Lonchura striata: one gene and its partner. The main gene of each other region encodes a partner of the protein of the gene in region 2 in a complex. Links are inferred from orthologs where the notes say so. Each region holds a gene or a part of one and is shown on either strand. Other genes may lie near its edges. The genes, in order: C-type lectin domain family 2 member B-like and S1PR1.

Region 1 (7,744 bases), on a different chromosome or scaffold from region 2:
GATGTAAGGAAGTGATCTGCACCAGTGCACGGCAGAGAAGGGGTTCACTGACACAACTCTGGGAGGGGCTGAGGGTATAAAAGGCAGAGCACCCATTTTGTAAATGTGCACGTGGCTGATAGCCCCAGAGAGCCCAGTGTTGTAATTATTCCTTAGTATCGTATTTTTTTGTTATGATTTCATGAGCATTTGAAATTTTTAAAGTGAGGGTCCTTTCTCACATCTTCCAAGGACCATCCTAAAGTCTCAACTTCAGGCCAGTGATGATTTCCAGGAATCCAGGGAAATTTGCATTCCCCAGTCGAGTTTGTTCTATTATGTTATAATTATGGCTTTCACATTTATGTACTAACTTTGGTTTTTCAAGTTATTATTGACCACAAGAATTCCGATATACTACACATTGTAATTACTGCTTTTGATATAGTATAACCTGTCACTGTATGTATGCACCATATAGCTTCTATAACTAGAGATGTAATAGATACTGTCTTAGAGCGTGAAATAATAGAGACTGTGAAATGCTGAAATGATTGTTTAATGTAACTAACTCAGAAAATGATGTAAAATAATTGATTTCCCATATTTGGGGACTTTCTTATCTGAAAGACACGATAATGGAATCAGAAACAAGAGTGGTGAACAAAAAGAAGAATTATTGACCCTCATCAGGGAGTGAAAATACAAGATAGAACCACAAGAAAACATAAATTATATTGGTTTAATTAGACAAGATAGCATGAAGACAAGTCAAAAGTTAAAACCAAACGAAAGAACATGTTAATGTAAAGTCATAATATATAAACATTTAAAATATTTATAAAATAATTTCTATGTCTGTATTAAAGGTATGTATAAAAACTTTTATCAAAAGGGTGAATAGAGAGCTGTGTTCCTAACATATAATGAGGGCAATCCAGTCACTCCAGGCAGCACCACTGGCAGGATGCACTGCAGAGACTTTTCCCCTGAACACCCACCCCTGTGTTTGCACTGGGGATGGACAGGCACTGAGGTGACCCTGAGAGTCAGTGCAAGGCACAGGGTGCAGCTGAGGAAGGACAGCCCTGTGCTGGGCTCAGAGCTGAAGCTGGCACTGCCCAGCGTGGATAAGGTCCTTTCTGCAGCCCTGTCACAGGGCAGCTTGGGCCTTGCTGCAGACATACGGCCGCTCATTTGAGCACATCTCACTGCGGAATTTATCGTCAGCCAGGTACACACACGGGGAATTGCCAAGGACAGGAACCCTGCAGGGAGGAGCAGAGACAGCGCTGGTTCCCAGGGGAACACCTTGTGCCCCTGTGCCCCCAGGCCCTGCCCGGCTCCCCGGCACTCACCTGGAGCTGTAGCTGCTGCCGTCCCCCCAGTGCAGGCGCTCGCCCCGTCTGCGCAGCCCGATCCAGTAATCGACGTTCCCGCGGAGGCGGAAGAGCAAATCCTGCCCAGGAGAGAGGAGTGGGAGCTGCCCTGGCCCCTCGGGGGGACCCGTGCCCGGGGCTGCCCCCGCACGCCGGGGCTCCTTCCCTGCAAGGCCCCGGCACAGGGCTGCACCCCCAGCCCTACGAGCACCCAGCCCGGCCCAGGAGCACCCCCAGGCTCCCCTCAGCCACCCCACACCGCCTGCAGCCCCTCACTCACCATGGCCTCATCCTGGAGAATGGCCAGGGAGGCCCCGAGCTCCGAGCACCGTTCCTGAGCCTGATCCCAGCTCCTGTAATCCCTTGACAAGTAGTAGCAGACCCCATTGTATCCAACCCAGCCATGGGGACAGCTCAGAACCATCTGCGGAGTCGCAGGTGTGACTGGAACCTGTGGTGCTGGAGGGGGAAGAGGAGAAGGTCTGAGGATTCCCCTCTGCAGGGAGCAGGGACCCCGCTCTGCCCCGAGGGGCTGGGCCCAGCCTGCTGCCCCTCCCTTACCTGACTGCACAGCCAAGGCCACCCCCAAAGCCAGCACCAGCACCAGGAGCAGCAGAATCAGCACCGCCGTGAGCACGGGACGGGAGCTGAACCATTCACCTGGAGCAGGAAAGAGCTGCTGGCTGCCAGAACCAGACCCGGCCCTGCAATCTGCTCACCCCGTGCCCAGGGAGCACAGCAGGGACCCCTCAGCCACTGTGCCCCTCACTCAGCTGGCAGCCAGAGAGCCAAGAGCCTGGGCACAGCCAGGGACACAGCTGTGGGGACAGGCAGGGACACAGCTGTGGGGACAGGCTGCAGCAGGAGAACTGCACAGCCTTGGGGGCAGCTGGGGCTCTTGGTTCCAGCCACTGACGAGGCCCAGCATATCAAGAACCCAAGGCGGCTCCGCCCCGGAGGACGCGGATACGGCGCTTTTCCGCCCACTCCGTGCCTGCTGCTCTTTGCAATCCATCCATAAGAGCCCAGATCCACACACTGCCCGCCCGAGCCGGGCACGGACACCTCCCGCCCGAGCAGCGGCCCCAGCCCGGAGCCGCACGGCCGGGAACTGTCCCGGGCACGGAGCAGCCGCCTCCGCCCGAGCGAGAGCAACCGGGACGAGCCATCGCTGCTGCGGCCCCGGCTCGTCCCCAGCGATCCGGGCAAGGAGGAGAGCGCGGGCAGCCGCTCCCTCCGCGATCCCAGCGCAGGGGGACCCGGCGGAACCCGGCACAAGGAACTCGCCAGAACCCCCCTGGCCCTCAGCACGGCCCCTCCGCCCGCAGCGAGCCCCGAGCTGGGGCAGAACCGACCGCGGGTCCCGCCGGGGCTGGAGCCGCCTCCGAGCTTCGCCATCGCCTCGCCGGGCTCCGGGGCCGCCGCCGCTCCGGTCCCTCACGACCTCGCCCCCCGCCGCCGCTCCGCTCCCGGCCGAAAGGACCGACACATGTGTTGACTAACCCCACGGACAGTGGAATTCCCATGTAGGGTGGAGCCGGTGTCGGTGTGGGAGGGTTTTGGCCGTTCTCACCAGTCAAAAGTGGGAAAGCAGCGAGGGGCGGCCCTTGGCCCGCGGAGGGAGGAGCCGGGGGGAGCCGAGCCCAGCCCCGGCTGCTGGAGATGGGCGGGCCGCGTACCGCGAAGGGTTAACTATTGGCGGTTCACACTTGTACGCCCTTCTATGAAACACGCATGTTTCAGACGAACAAAACTCGGGAACTCGTGTTTTTTATCTTGCGGTTAACAAGCACGGAGCGCGGACAGCTCAGAGCAGAGGCGGCCCCACGGCCCGTGCACCGTGACCCTGCAGCTCGAACTGAACCGGCAGAACCCAAAATCCAGCCCTGCAGCCGCTGCTGGCACAAACCAACCAAACAAAACACCCCAACATGTAAAAGAACAACGTGAAATCATCAAAGTCACTTGTGGGAACTCAAAATGTCTCTCAGACATTTTTAGAGGTTCCAGGCCTTGGTCAGAAGCATTCTAGACCCTGGCAGGCAGCTGGAAACAGCTGTGATTTTGAGTTTGAGCCATGGAATGAGTTACCAACTTTGGAGGTGGAACAAGCAGTCACAAAAGGTTAGATAGTATAGTATAAGTAATTACAAAGTAGAGGGGAAATTTTTTTAGTATTGTACAGGGGGGTTTTAACACATGTACAGGGGGTTTTCACTTTGTACATGGGGGTCAGAAGTTCTAAGATGGAGGAAAGTGGGCTGATCCTATTCTTCCTCCTTCTTTTTCCTTACCTTCATGTTCTTGGTGATGTTGGCACTCACAGATTGGTTTAGAGTAGAAAAACACTTGGCAGCGTAGGTAGTAGGTATTGGGGAATAATTGTAAACATGTTATACATAATATATCTTATAAAAGACAGCAGCAGCCCTGGGCAGATGGGAGAGACAAAGAAGACAGCAGATAGAGAGGATGTCAGTGTGTGTGTGTGCCTCTACCCAGGCCGCTGATCAAATAGCCGCAGTCCAAGAACATAATCTGTTAGATAACTAAAAATAAACTGCCTTGAGATCGAACAGCTAAAGCCTGCGGAGCTTTTCTTTGGAAGCACAGGTTGGAGGAAGAATTTCACCACCATATGAGACCCCAGAGCAAGGCCGGGGTTCTCACAGTCACTAAAGAAGAAATAAAGTCCCAAACAACAGCAATAAAGAAATGCCTAAATCTTAAAGCTAAAATCCTCTTAGAAAACTATGGAACAAAGACTTTTGTCCCAATAACTCTTAAAAGTATAGATGGCTAAAGAGTTCAAATTAATATCAAACAAATGCCTCCAAACCAAAGTAAAGAAATATTAAAGTAACTACAAAAAGTTTAAACAAAAAAAGAGAGAAGACTAATAAAATACTGTGCCCCCAAGAAAACAAAAATATCTGTTCCCAGAGATGAAAATAATTTCAAAAACAGATAATAAAAACCTTTACCTTTAAACAACTCATCTTTAAAACAATACCCCATAAGTTAACATAGCCCATAAACAAGCTGTAAAAAAAGCTTGTAAAACACAAGAGAGACATCACAATTACAAGTTTCCCCAAGCAGCAACTTGTGGTAAAAAAATTAAGAACCATAAAAAACGTGGGTTTTTTTCCTTGTGGAGAAGTCTCCATAACATTAAGGAGAGAGACTTCTCTCCCTCCGTAATCTGAAAGAAACTATTTGAAAAGTAGTAAGCTAACTAATATTTTAAGATTTCTTCCTTTACATTACCAGTAAAAAAAAAAAAGTGCCCTAAATGTTTTCTTCTAATTCTTATTACTCTTAATTACTGTAAATAAATTTCTCTTCATAGCCTTTTAAAGTTTTAAACTTACTTTACCTTTCTCCTAATCCTACCCCACAACAAAAAGTAAACACATTAGTAATTAGCCAACACTAAACCCACCATGCTAATTTAGTACAATAAGCAAAAAATCTCAAAATCAGCGAACCAAAGCCAATACACCACCACCTGCTACTTCTCCCCTGGTGGGAGCCCAGCACATCCCTCTGGCTGCCCTGGCTGTCTCCAGACCCTGGCAGGGGGCTCGGAGACCTTGGCACGAAGTCAAAAACACCCGTGGCTTTGATTTTAGTCCGTGGAAAAAACTGCCAACTTTGTGTGAAGATTTACAGGTCACAAGAGTTGAGTTAATGTAACACGGGGTAAAAAGCAGAAATTTGGGGTTTTTTTAGAATGGGGTTGAGGAGGCAAGAGGGAGGAATTTCGATGTATCTTCTCCTTCTTGTCCTCCATCTTTCACTATGATGGTGACACTTTTATTGGTTTGGAGTAGAGACACACTGTCTAACATAGGTGATGGGTAGGAAATTAATGGTAAATAAAGTATACGAAGTTCATAATATAAAATGTTAACACCAGCCTAGAGGGCAGACAGAATGCCATGATCTGACTTGCCAGGCAGAGGTCAGCAGGTCAGAAATTGAATGTTATAGATAGGAGAAAATAAACAACCTTGAGAAGCAAAAGCGACTCTGGCTGCGGGGCTGGGAGGAAAAAACTTTTTAGGATCTTGGCTCATCTTGACCACAGAACCCCGAGATCCCCTCTTTTCCTACATGGATTTGAGAGCTCTCGGTTTCCTCCCACACAGCTGGAAAGCAAAATGCCCGCCTGCCCCATGGCATCCCCGCCGCCTTCCACCGCTCCAGCCTTGTCCCTCTTTCTCTCCCCTTTACTTTGCATCACTTTATGCCTCCTCCTCTCCCTGCCAGCTCGCAGCAAAGACATTTCCCCCGCTGGCTCCAGCTGCCTCCTCTCCCTCGGTCCCGTTTTACCCCTCTGAACTCCTGGAGCCGCCTGCCCGCGGAGCCGGAGCCGCCGTGGGGCCGGGAAATGGTGCAGGGAATTCTGGCAGGGATTCTGGGGCTGGGCTGGGCCGGGCCAGGACCCGGGGCCAGCAAAGCCACTCTGTGCCTCTCCTCCTGCCCCTGGGCAGGCACAGGACACAGCAGGGAAGGCTCGAGGGGCTCAGGAAAGGCAGCGAGAGATCTGTCACTGTCATGGGTGTAACAGGCTCCCACTGGGGTCATTGATTTTAGTTGAATTTATTATCAAACAGATCAGAGCATGGGAATGAGAAGTGTGCCAAATCCTAAAAATGCACCTTCCCCACGCTATCCTCTCCTTCCTGGGCTCCATTTTATTCTCAGTTCCCTCCCTCCCTCCCTCCTCCTCAGACAGTGGCACAGAGGGATGGCAGTTACAATCATGTCATGTCAATGCTTGTCCCTCAGGGAGACAAATCCTTGACCTGCTCCTGGTTGTCATTTTTCCACAGGAGGACAGTCAGATCCTTTCCAACAGAAAGACAGATATACAGACAAACCACTACTTGCAGTAAGATACCTGATGCAAATTGGGATTCCTCAGCAGGTGTCAGCTGTTCTTCTTCCTCTCCAAAGACAGTCCAGAAGTGCCAGCTTCAGGCCACTTTGTGATGATTTCCAAGACCTCAGAGAGATTAGATTGCTCACTGGATCTTGTTGTGTAATGAGGACAATCCACTCACTGCAGGCAACCTCGGGGGCAGGATGCATTGCAGAGACTTTTCCCCTGAACACCCACCCCTGTGTTGGCACTGGGGATGGACAGGCACTGAGGTGACCCTGAGAGTCCGTGCAAGGCACAGGGTGCAGCTGAGGAAGGACAGCCCTGGGCTGGGCTCAGAGCCGAAGCTGGCACTGCCCAGTGTGGACAAGGTCCTTTCTGCAGCCCTGTCACAGGGCAGCTTGGGCCTTGCTGCAGACATACGGCCGCTCATTTGAGCAATCCCTGGTCCTGAATTTATTGTCAGCCAGGTACACACACGGGGAATTGCCAAGGACAGGAACCCTGCAGGGAGGAGCAGAGACAGCGCTGGTTCCCAGGGGAACACCTTGTGCCCCTGTGCCCCCAGGCCCTGCCCGGCTCCCCGGCACTCACCTGGAGCTGTAGCTGCTGCCGTCCCCCCAGTGCAGGCGCTCGCCCCGTCTGCGCAGCCCGATCCAGTAATCGACGTTCCCGCGGAGGCGGAAGAGCAAATCCTGCCCAGGAGAGAGGAGTGGGAGCTGCCCCGGCCCCTCGGGGGGACCCGTGCCCGGGGCTGCCCCCGCACGCCGGGGCTCCTTCCCTGCAAGGCCCCGGCACAGGGCTGCACCCCCAGCCCTACGAGCACCCAGCCCGGCCCAGGAGCACCCCCAGGCTCCCCTCAGCCACCCCACACCACCCGCAGCCCCTCACTCACCATGGCCTCATCCTGGAGAATGGCCAGGGAGGCCCCGAGCTCCGAGCACCGTTCCTGAGCCTGATCCCAGCTCCTGTAATCCCTTGACAAGTAGTAGCAGACCCCATTGTACCCAACCCAGCCACGGGGACAGCCCAGAACCAACTGCGGAGTCGCAGGTGTGACTGGAACCTGTGGTGCTGGAGGGGGAAGAGGAGAAGGTCTGAGGATTCCCCTCTGCAGGGAGCAGGGACCCTGCTCTGCCCCGAGGGGCTGGGCCCAGCCTGCTGCCCCTCCCTTACCTGACTGCACAGCCAAGGCCACCCCCAAAGCCAGCACCAGCACCAGGAGCAGCAGAATCAGCACCGCCGTGAGCACGGGACGGGAGCTGAACCATTCACCTGGAGCAGGAAAGAGCTGCTGGCTGCCAGAACCAGACCCGGCCCTGCAATCTGCTCACCCCGTGCCCAGGGAGCACAGCAGGGACCCCTCAGCCACTGTGCCCCTCACTCAGCTGGCAGCCAGAGAGCCAAGAGCCTGGGCACAGGCAGGGACACAGCTGTGGGGACAGGCTGCAGCAGGAGAACTGCACAGCCTTGGGGGCAGCTGGGGCTCTTGGTT
Region 2 (7,694 bases):
CAGTGGTTTGCTGTGAAGAGAAAAAACTTCACATTCTTCTCACAGGAAAAAAAAAAAATATTCATTCTCCCTTTCCCTCCTCCCCCTCTCTCTTTCTCTCACACACACCAGGCATCATTTCACCAAGGCATCAGTCTTTCAGAGTTACTAAGGAGATTTCAGGATATGAATGCGCCTGACAATCCTGAGCTGCCTCAGCGCAAAGACAAAACATGCTCCAGGGAAAAAGATTTTCAAGCCAGAACAGTGTGTCCCATTTCTTGAACTCCAGCCTCGCAAGTGCACTGTTTGCCTCATTAGAACTAATGCTACTTGCTCACTCAGCCCAACGCTGCTGCTGTGAGCAGGAGGCGTCCCAGCTCCCTCATTTCAGAGGAAGACTCTGAAATACACCCCCATGGTTACTCCTAAGAAGATGAGGTAACATTGCCCGAAGACATGATGGTTTCAGGATGGTCACCGTCCTCCTTCTGTGGGTGTGAGGAGTTGTCAGACTTACTCCGGCTGAACTCCATCCCCCCAATGATTGGCCGTTTGAATTTGGTCCCAGAATCTGCAGGGGGACATGTGCAGCAGCACAAAATCTTGATGAATGCCCTCCGCATCTCTTTGTTTGTCAAGGTGTAGATGATAGGGTTTGTGGCTGAATTGAGCACGGCCAGTACTAAGAAATACTCTGCTTTGTAGAGGATTGGGCAGGTCTTCACTTTGCACCCCACATCCAGTAAAAGGAGGATGAACAGAGGAGCCCAGCAGGCAATGAAGACACTCAGGACTATGATCACTGTCTTGAGCAAGGCTAGTGACTTTTCTGAGCTCCTGGTAGCTTTGGTAATGTTTTTCCGAAATGTCAGCCTGCGGCTCCTAGTCCTCACCATGGAGTAGATCCTGCAGTAGAGGACCACAATAGATAACAAAAGGCCAGTGAAAACGGTTGTGCAAAAGAGAATATAGTGCTTGTGGTAGAGAGGCAGCACGGTGGAGCAGTTGGACAAGAGGTTCTTGCAGTTCCAGCCCATGATCGGGAGCCCCCCAAGGATTGCGGAGATGACCCAGCACGCACTGATCAGCAAGAAGGAGCGGAAGCTGTTGCTGCCATTGTGGAGTTTCATCTTCAGCATGGTGATGTATCTCTCGATGGCAATGGCCAACAAGCTGAACACAGAAGCTGACAAGGCAACAAACATGGTGCCTTCTCTTACAAACCACTGGTTGGGGGTCAGGCTGTAGGTTTTGTGTCCAGATAGCAGGATGTTGGCAGTGTAAGCCACACCAGCCAGTAAGTCTGAAAGAGCCAAGTTCCCAATGAAATAGTACATGGGTCTGTGAAACTTCTTGGTTTTCCAGATGGTAAGCAAGACAAAAATGTTCTCTAAGATTATAAAGCAGCAAATGATAATAAAAACCACCGACGTCACTTTAATTCCAGTGTCCACACTCTCATTTAGCTTTCCCGTGTAATTATAATGCTCTTTGATGACATAGTTGACATCAGTGTTGGTAGGGTTGCTGGTGACCTTCTGCGGGGCAGTGGTGCCAGAGTTCATGGTGCCTGGCTGGGGACTGCTCCCCCAGCAGCCGCCGGATGGTGACGCCAACCGCAAACCCGGTGGCTGCCCCGAAAATCCTTGGCCCGACACTGCTGCACAGCCTCACAAACTGCAGCCCTGAGAACAAGAGGCATGAAAACCAGACTTAAAAGAAGGAAGACTAAAAATGTAGCAAATGCTAAAGGGTTCAATAATCTGCTGTTTTAACTGTACATCAGAGTAAAAAAATGTATTCATACATGAATCAGTTTCATTCAGCTGGTAAAATACATTTAAAAGGTGGTTAGCTATATTGAATAGGTAAAGCTAATAAGACAAAAAAAGTTCGGTCATGCAGAACTGAACAAGTTGGAGTCAGCAAGGACTGTATTACTGGACTTCTTCCAGCACAAAAGATCTCAAAGCTCTCCAGCAGTAAGTTCTAGTCTTTTTTTCTTCAGTGAGAAATACAACATCAGAGATTAAAAATGGGAAAGGGCTTGCTTGATGAGATTTAACTCTAAATGTACAAAAGTTTGCACAGAAATTACTTGATACAGACCTGTATTCTCCTCCATTAATAAAGTCTGAATACACTTTGGAAGGGGATAGTTATGCAATTTACTGATGCCATCTCAAACAGTGGTAAATTCACTGATGTAAATATACACAAGAAATCATCTCAAAGCTGTAAACAGCTTAAGGGGTGCCCTTGCTAAATACAAGTAAGAATATGCTTTACAAAGCCCACAGCAGTAAAAAGTTAAGAAAAACAAGAAAAATATGGAATTAAGCTGAAGAGCAAGCCCATTCCATGGATCTAAAAGTAAGAATGTCAAAAAACCCCCTTGCATTTAAATAACTAGTATTGCAAGCTTTTGAAGTGGGCATAATTAAGTAATACACATATAGAGGAAACCCCCTTTACATATAAAGGTTTTGTAGAAGTACATTTAAAAATAATTAAACCCATAATATCAGGCAAGGAAAGAAGAACAGGCAGATTTGCTAAATTACAGCCTAAGCGGGGCAAGGCAGTGGGTTCGGCTCCCTACACTATTCCCGGGCTCCGGTCTGCATCGCTCCCGGGCATAAAAGTGCCATGGCTCCTGTCCCGCACCGCTCCTGTCCCGCACGGCTCCGGGGCTCCTACTCGCAGCGCTCCGGCTCCGCTTCGGTCTCCGCGCGCGTGGCTCCCGTCCCGCACCGCCTCTGCCGGACGCGGCAGCAGCCGGGCACGCCGGCGCCCAGGTAGCCTCCTCCCCACCCCGTCTGGTTTGTGTCGCGGCCCCGGGGGTCGCGCCGAGCGGGGACCGCAGCGCTGGGACTTGAGGCGTCCCCGCGTTGCGGGGACTGCGCGGCCGCGGCTCCCCGAGCCTTACCTGGCTCAAGCGCGGCGCGGAGCCCAGACCGGCCCCGCACATCTTGCGTGCCCGCGGAGCAACTCCGGTGGGCGGGCTAGGGGGCTCGGTGGTTTTAATGTTTTGTAGCTGCTGCTCTCCACCCTCATTTCCGATTCCCGTGTCTTCCCTGCGTGCCCAGCCCAGCCCAGCCGGCGGGACAGCCCGCCCACCGCCCCACCCCGCGAGCCGCGGCGCTGCCGTGCCCGGCTGGTGCGGAGCCCGCGGGCAGCAGCGGCCGGCTCCGGAAGGCGTGAGGCGAGGAGCTGCCCCGGGGGACCCGCTCGCCCCGCCGGGCCGGGGGGCGCCGCGGCCGGGCTGCAGCCGTCCCTGACCTGAGAGCCGCCGCCGGGCGCACCCGGCATTCCGGGGAAGGAGGTGCTGGCGCGGCCCGGCGGCTCCCAGCGCGGCTCCTGCGGGGTGCCGGGGGCAGCTTCCCGCCCGCCCGGCTTTCCTGCCCCCCGAAAGGTTATGGCCAAAGGCAGCGTCCCGTATGCTACCTCCGTTCCCCCTCTTAGAGGACAGTGTAAGTCCTGTTTAAGGAAACACCCGAAAGAAGCTCTTCCATTTTCTCACTACAACCAAGGTGTTTTTGCCGTGGCAGGCCCGGTGGCTGCCACCCGCACTCGTGGCCCGCAGTGACTCACCAGCGGCTCCCCGGGGAGGCAGCAGCCCCATGGGGCGAGGATGGTGCCAGGCTGCACTCTGCGGGGAAGAAGCCAGAACTGGCTCATGGGGGATAAACTCAGTTCCTGCCACTGTCAAACAGCACCAGGTGTTGGTGTTTCCACATGAAAAAAGAAAACCAAACCGAAAAAACAACAAAAACCAAAATACACAAAACACCCCAAAACAAAACAAACCCCAAACAAACCCAAACAAAAAACCCCCAACCGATAACCCCCCCAAAAAACTAAAAATCCCCAAAACTAACCTCTGCATGTTCAGAGGATGCTGTAAAACAACTATGTTTGAAAGTACGAAGAAAAGTTTTTAATGCATTTTTTTCAGAAACAAAACTGGCAATGGCAACTACTTAACACTGTTACCACTGTATCATATTGTATATTCTTTTTAAAAGAAAAAGCACCTTTGGCATATGTGAAATGCCAGCTCTGGTATATTCTAGTCGTTGCACTTACTGCAGAAATTTCCTCTTCCTTCCTTGCTCTGCTCTTGTTAACTCCAAATTGAAATGTAAAAGAATATCACAATAGGCCAAAGTGCAATAAATTGGGTCTTTCAGTTTAAAGTATTGTGCCCATCAATTAGCTGTAGCAGTTGTTATGGGGAAGCAGCTTTCCTCTGAAAGACAGTACAAGTATTCTACCCTCAGGAAGAGGGTCCCTCTCTTATTTATGCTAATAGTCATGCTTCAACTGCTCCACACCCGTCCCAGAATGACTCAGATAAATTACACTGGCAAACAGACATTTACTCTTCTACCACAAAGCTAGAAACTTGAAAAGATATTTAGCCTCCTGAGAGCCTGGAGGAAAATGCAGCCGTTAAGTCACAACTGTCAGAAAATGCACGAGATAAATCATGCTTGAGGCTGACATATGTATCCCCTGCAACTGCCTGACATACCCCAGATATTTCAAGCTTTCCCCCTTATTTATCTAATACATAGAAAATACTAAATAAAAGTGCATTAATTAGGCATTTTCTTCTAGGAAATAATTATTACATAATTTTAAGTAAGAGGAACATATTAAAGGAACATGCTTTAATTAAAGGATAGAATGATTCAGGGTTTCATTAGTCAGATGTGCAGGCTTTCATGTCCAGGCTATTGGCTACCAGCTGAGAGGATACCATCTCAGAGATGTGACATTCAGCAAATTAATTGTCAGAGCCTGTGTAAAATTACAGAACCACAGAATGGTTTGGGTTGGAATGGAAGACCTTAAAGATCACCCAGTTCCTACTCCGTTGCCATGGGTGGGGGCATCTTCCACTAGGTTAGGATGCTCAAAGCCCCATCCAACCTAGCCTTGAACATTTCCAGGGATGGGGACATCCACCCTTTCTTTGGGCAACCTGTTCCAGCAAAGAAATTCTTATCAATATTGAAACTAAGCCCACTGTCTTTCAGTTTGAAGCCATTCTCTTGTCCTGACACTACATGTTCTTGTAAAAAGTCCCTTTCCAGCTTTCCTGTAGGGCCCCTTTATATTCTTAAGCACCACAAGAAAGTAACTGCAGAGCCTTCTCTTCTCCAGACTAAAAAAACCCAACTCTCTCAGCCATTCCTTAGAAGAGGTGCTCCAGCCCTGTGGTCATTATTTGCATCTTTCCTCCGGACCTGCTCTGACCATGTCTGGTCCATGTCTTTCCTGTGCTGAGAGCCCCAGAGCTGGACACAGCACTGCAGGTGGGGCCTGACCAGAGCGGAGCAGAGGGGAAAAATCCCCTCTTGCCTTGACCTGCTGCCCACAGTCCTTATGGTGCAGCCTAGGATACCACTGGCTTTCTGGGCTGCAAACTCACACTTCAGGCTCATGTCCAGACTCTTATCCACCAGCACCCCCAAGTCCTTCACATCTGCCTCTCTTACCCGATAGTGATACAGGGAGTTGTCCAACACAGGTGCAGCACTGGGCAAAATATGCAGGCAATTTCAGTTCCATTCCAAAAAGTGGGTACTTGTATCACAAAAGGCATCGTTAAACTTAGATGACCACATACATTTACAGCCTTCTTGACACCTTGGCACTGAGGAAACTGAAACATAGCTTCACTCTTCACAGGTAAATGGAGGCAGATCAGCTGGATTTGCACTGAAGGCTTTCTAAACCCTCAGAGAAGATAGGTTAACATAGCTCAACTGCACAGGTTCTAACCTGCTTACAAGGACTGAAACACAAACATGGGACTACTCAGGTTGGTCCAGCCAACTCTACCAAAACTGTAGTTGCTGGTAAGTGTTTAGCAAGGGGGTTTAAACCAGGGTTAAACTCCAGTCTCACCAGGAAAACAAGCCACCAACAGAATGAGAACTCTTTCTCAGTGCCGTGTCCACTGATAAGGAAGCTTGCACTTCTACTACAGAAATCCAGTGTATACACGGCTCCTCTGAGAACTCGATTCTGGAATTGCCCATGGTCAGAATAAGGAGAAAGAACAACACAATGTTATTAATGCATTTCAGAAATAACCAGAATGCAGGTCTCTGTCAAATGCCAGCAGAAAGGCTGTGCACATCAGGACACCAACCTGACACAGAACAGACGCCTCACCTGGCTAAACTGGTTAAAAAAATGTTCTGTGACATGTCTACTAGCACAAAGAGAAAGACACATTCTTCACAGGGATCCTGAGTATGTATATGCTCTTAGATAGTTTCCAGGATGAGCAGAAACTCACATTATAGGGAATGGCATGAACAACAACAAAATAACACTGACTGTGTGTGACAACCCAAGTTCTTGTGGAACTTCCAGTGAGAGCTTAGCTTGGTCAGGATTGCAGAAACATGGCTAGTCACAGAGCTATTTCCTTGCAGGAAAATGCTTTGATCTTGTCAGAAAAGAAGCTGTAAGCTGGGGTCCACCCAATGCCTGCATATCAAAAGACTGGTGGCCTCTGACACCACCAGACCCAATTCTCCCAGTGCAGCTGGACAGCTCACAATTGCATCAGAGGAGTGTCTGAACACTATCCATCTTGAAAAGATAGTGACAATCCCTGCAAGGGAGATTAGCAAAGGATTTTTCTCCAACACGTCATTCTTCTGCACTTTTCAAAAGTCTTTGTCCATATAAGCAAAAACTACTTTTATTCATCCCGATGTAGCTTAGGTCACAAAGGGAGACAATCCTCTCTGAAGTGCTGGGGCATGACAGGAGATCTGTGAAACAGTACCAAATTGCAGGTTTGGTCACCAAGAAAATATCAAGAATGGCCTGCAGAATCCCCCAAAATTCTCTTGACTGGAAGAAATAAAAAAGTTGGATTCATTGTTCTGCTGCAATCCCTGAACAAATATTCCATATTTTGAATCATTTGTCAAGATTTACATACATTGTACCATGCTCTTACATACCTTCAAGTAATTAATACTTTTCAAAATCTGGAAGTAAAAAAATACACCTAATTAATGTGTTCAGATGGGTTCCAGTGACACCTTAAATGAAATACATGCAGGCAGAAGAAAATTATAATATTGTGAGATAACTAACCCATACTGGGAGACTATACGGGAAAGTTCTAAGAAAGCAAAAAAGACACTGAAGGTATTTCTGCATCTGTAAGAAAGCTACACACAGTAAATTAAATTATTTTATTAATTTGTTAACATAAGAGTAACTACAAACCATTTATACTGATTCTTGAGTATACTGCCTGCCCAAGAGAACAATTCAGATTTATTGTTCAGTTTAAAATTAATTAATGTTCAGGTTACATCACTTTTCCAGTTTAGAACAATCTGGTTTTAAATTATTCTTTCCACAGGGAGTATGTTAGATGAATTAATTTTCTGTTGATATTCACAGTATTAAAAAATTCCCTATCTTCTTTCTTCAGATTAGAATCAAAAACCTGGTTTGAAGGAAAAAAAAAAGTAATGAGAACATTGCAAAGATTAAAGCACACATATTTTTTTCAGTATTAGTATTCTGTAACTTAGATTCTATAACTGAGGTCTGGTTTTAAGTGCTTGATATTGACAAATGATATTAATTAAATGGCCTTTTTTGTTTAAAAAGGCAATTGTAAAAAGTTTACTAGATACATTTTTGTGAGAATCTGCACTTTATTT

Evidence for each region.
Region 1: the proteins of S1PR1 (region 2) and C-type lectin domain family 2 member B-like are in contact, whole or in part, in a cryo-EM structure (PDB 8G94), measured with the Homo sapiens proteins. The link is inferred for Lonchura striata from reciprocal best matches to the Homo sapiens genes S1PR1 and CD69. Residues at the interface, in NP_001307659.1 of Homo sapiens: Asn157, Leu160, Phe161, Ile164, Ser165, Trp168, Val169, Leu172, Ile173, Gly176, Ile179, Met180, Gly181; in NP_001772.1 of Homo sapiens: Val41, Ala44, Val45, Val48, Val49, Thr52, Ile53, Ile56, Ile59, Ala60, Val63.

Annotation. Positions count from the first base shown.
Region 1 is NC_134609.1:37,192,141-37,199,884, reverse strand, and holds C-type lectin domain family 2 member B-like, read right to left. Parts: upstream 2,857-7,744; 5' UTR 2,757-2,856; coding exon 2,714-2,756; intron 2,019-2,713; coding exon 1,920-2,018; intron 1,818-1,919; coding exon 1,639-1,817; intron 1,439-1,638; coding exon 1,338-1,438; intron 1,248-1,337; coding exon 1,133-1,247; 3' UTR 523-1,132; downstream 1-522. Other genes in the region: C-type lectin domain family 2 member B-like, read right to left, coding at 6,639-6,753, 6,844-6,944, 7,145-7,323, 7,426-7,524. UniProt on the Homo sapiens protein: Transmembrane protein expressed mainly on T-cells resident in mucosa that plays an essential role in immune cell homeostasis.
Region 2 is NC_134611.1:23,116,950-23,124,643, reverse strand, and holds the start of S1PR1 (sphingosine 1-phosphate receptor 1), read right to left. Parts: upstream 3,042-7,694; 5' UTR 2,912-3,041; intron 1,668-2,911; 5' UTR 1,548-1,667; coding exon 408-1,547; 3' UTR 1-407.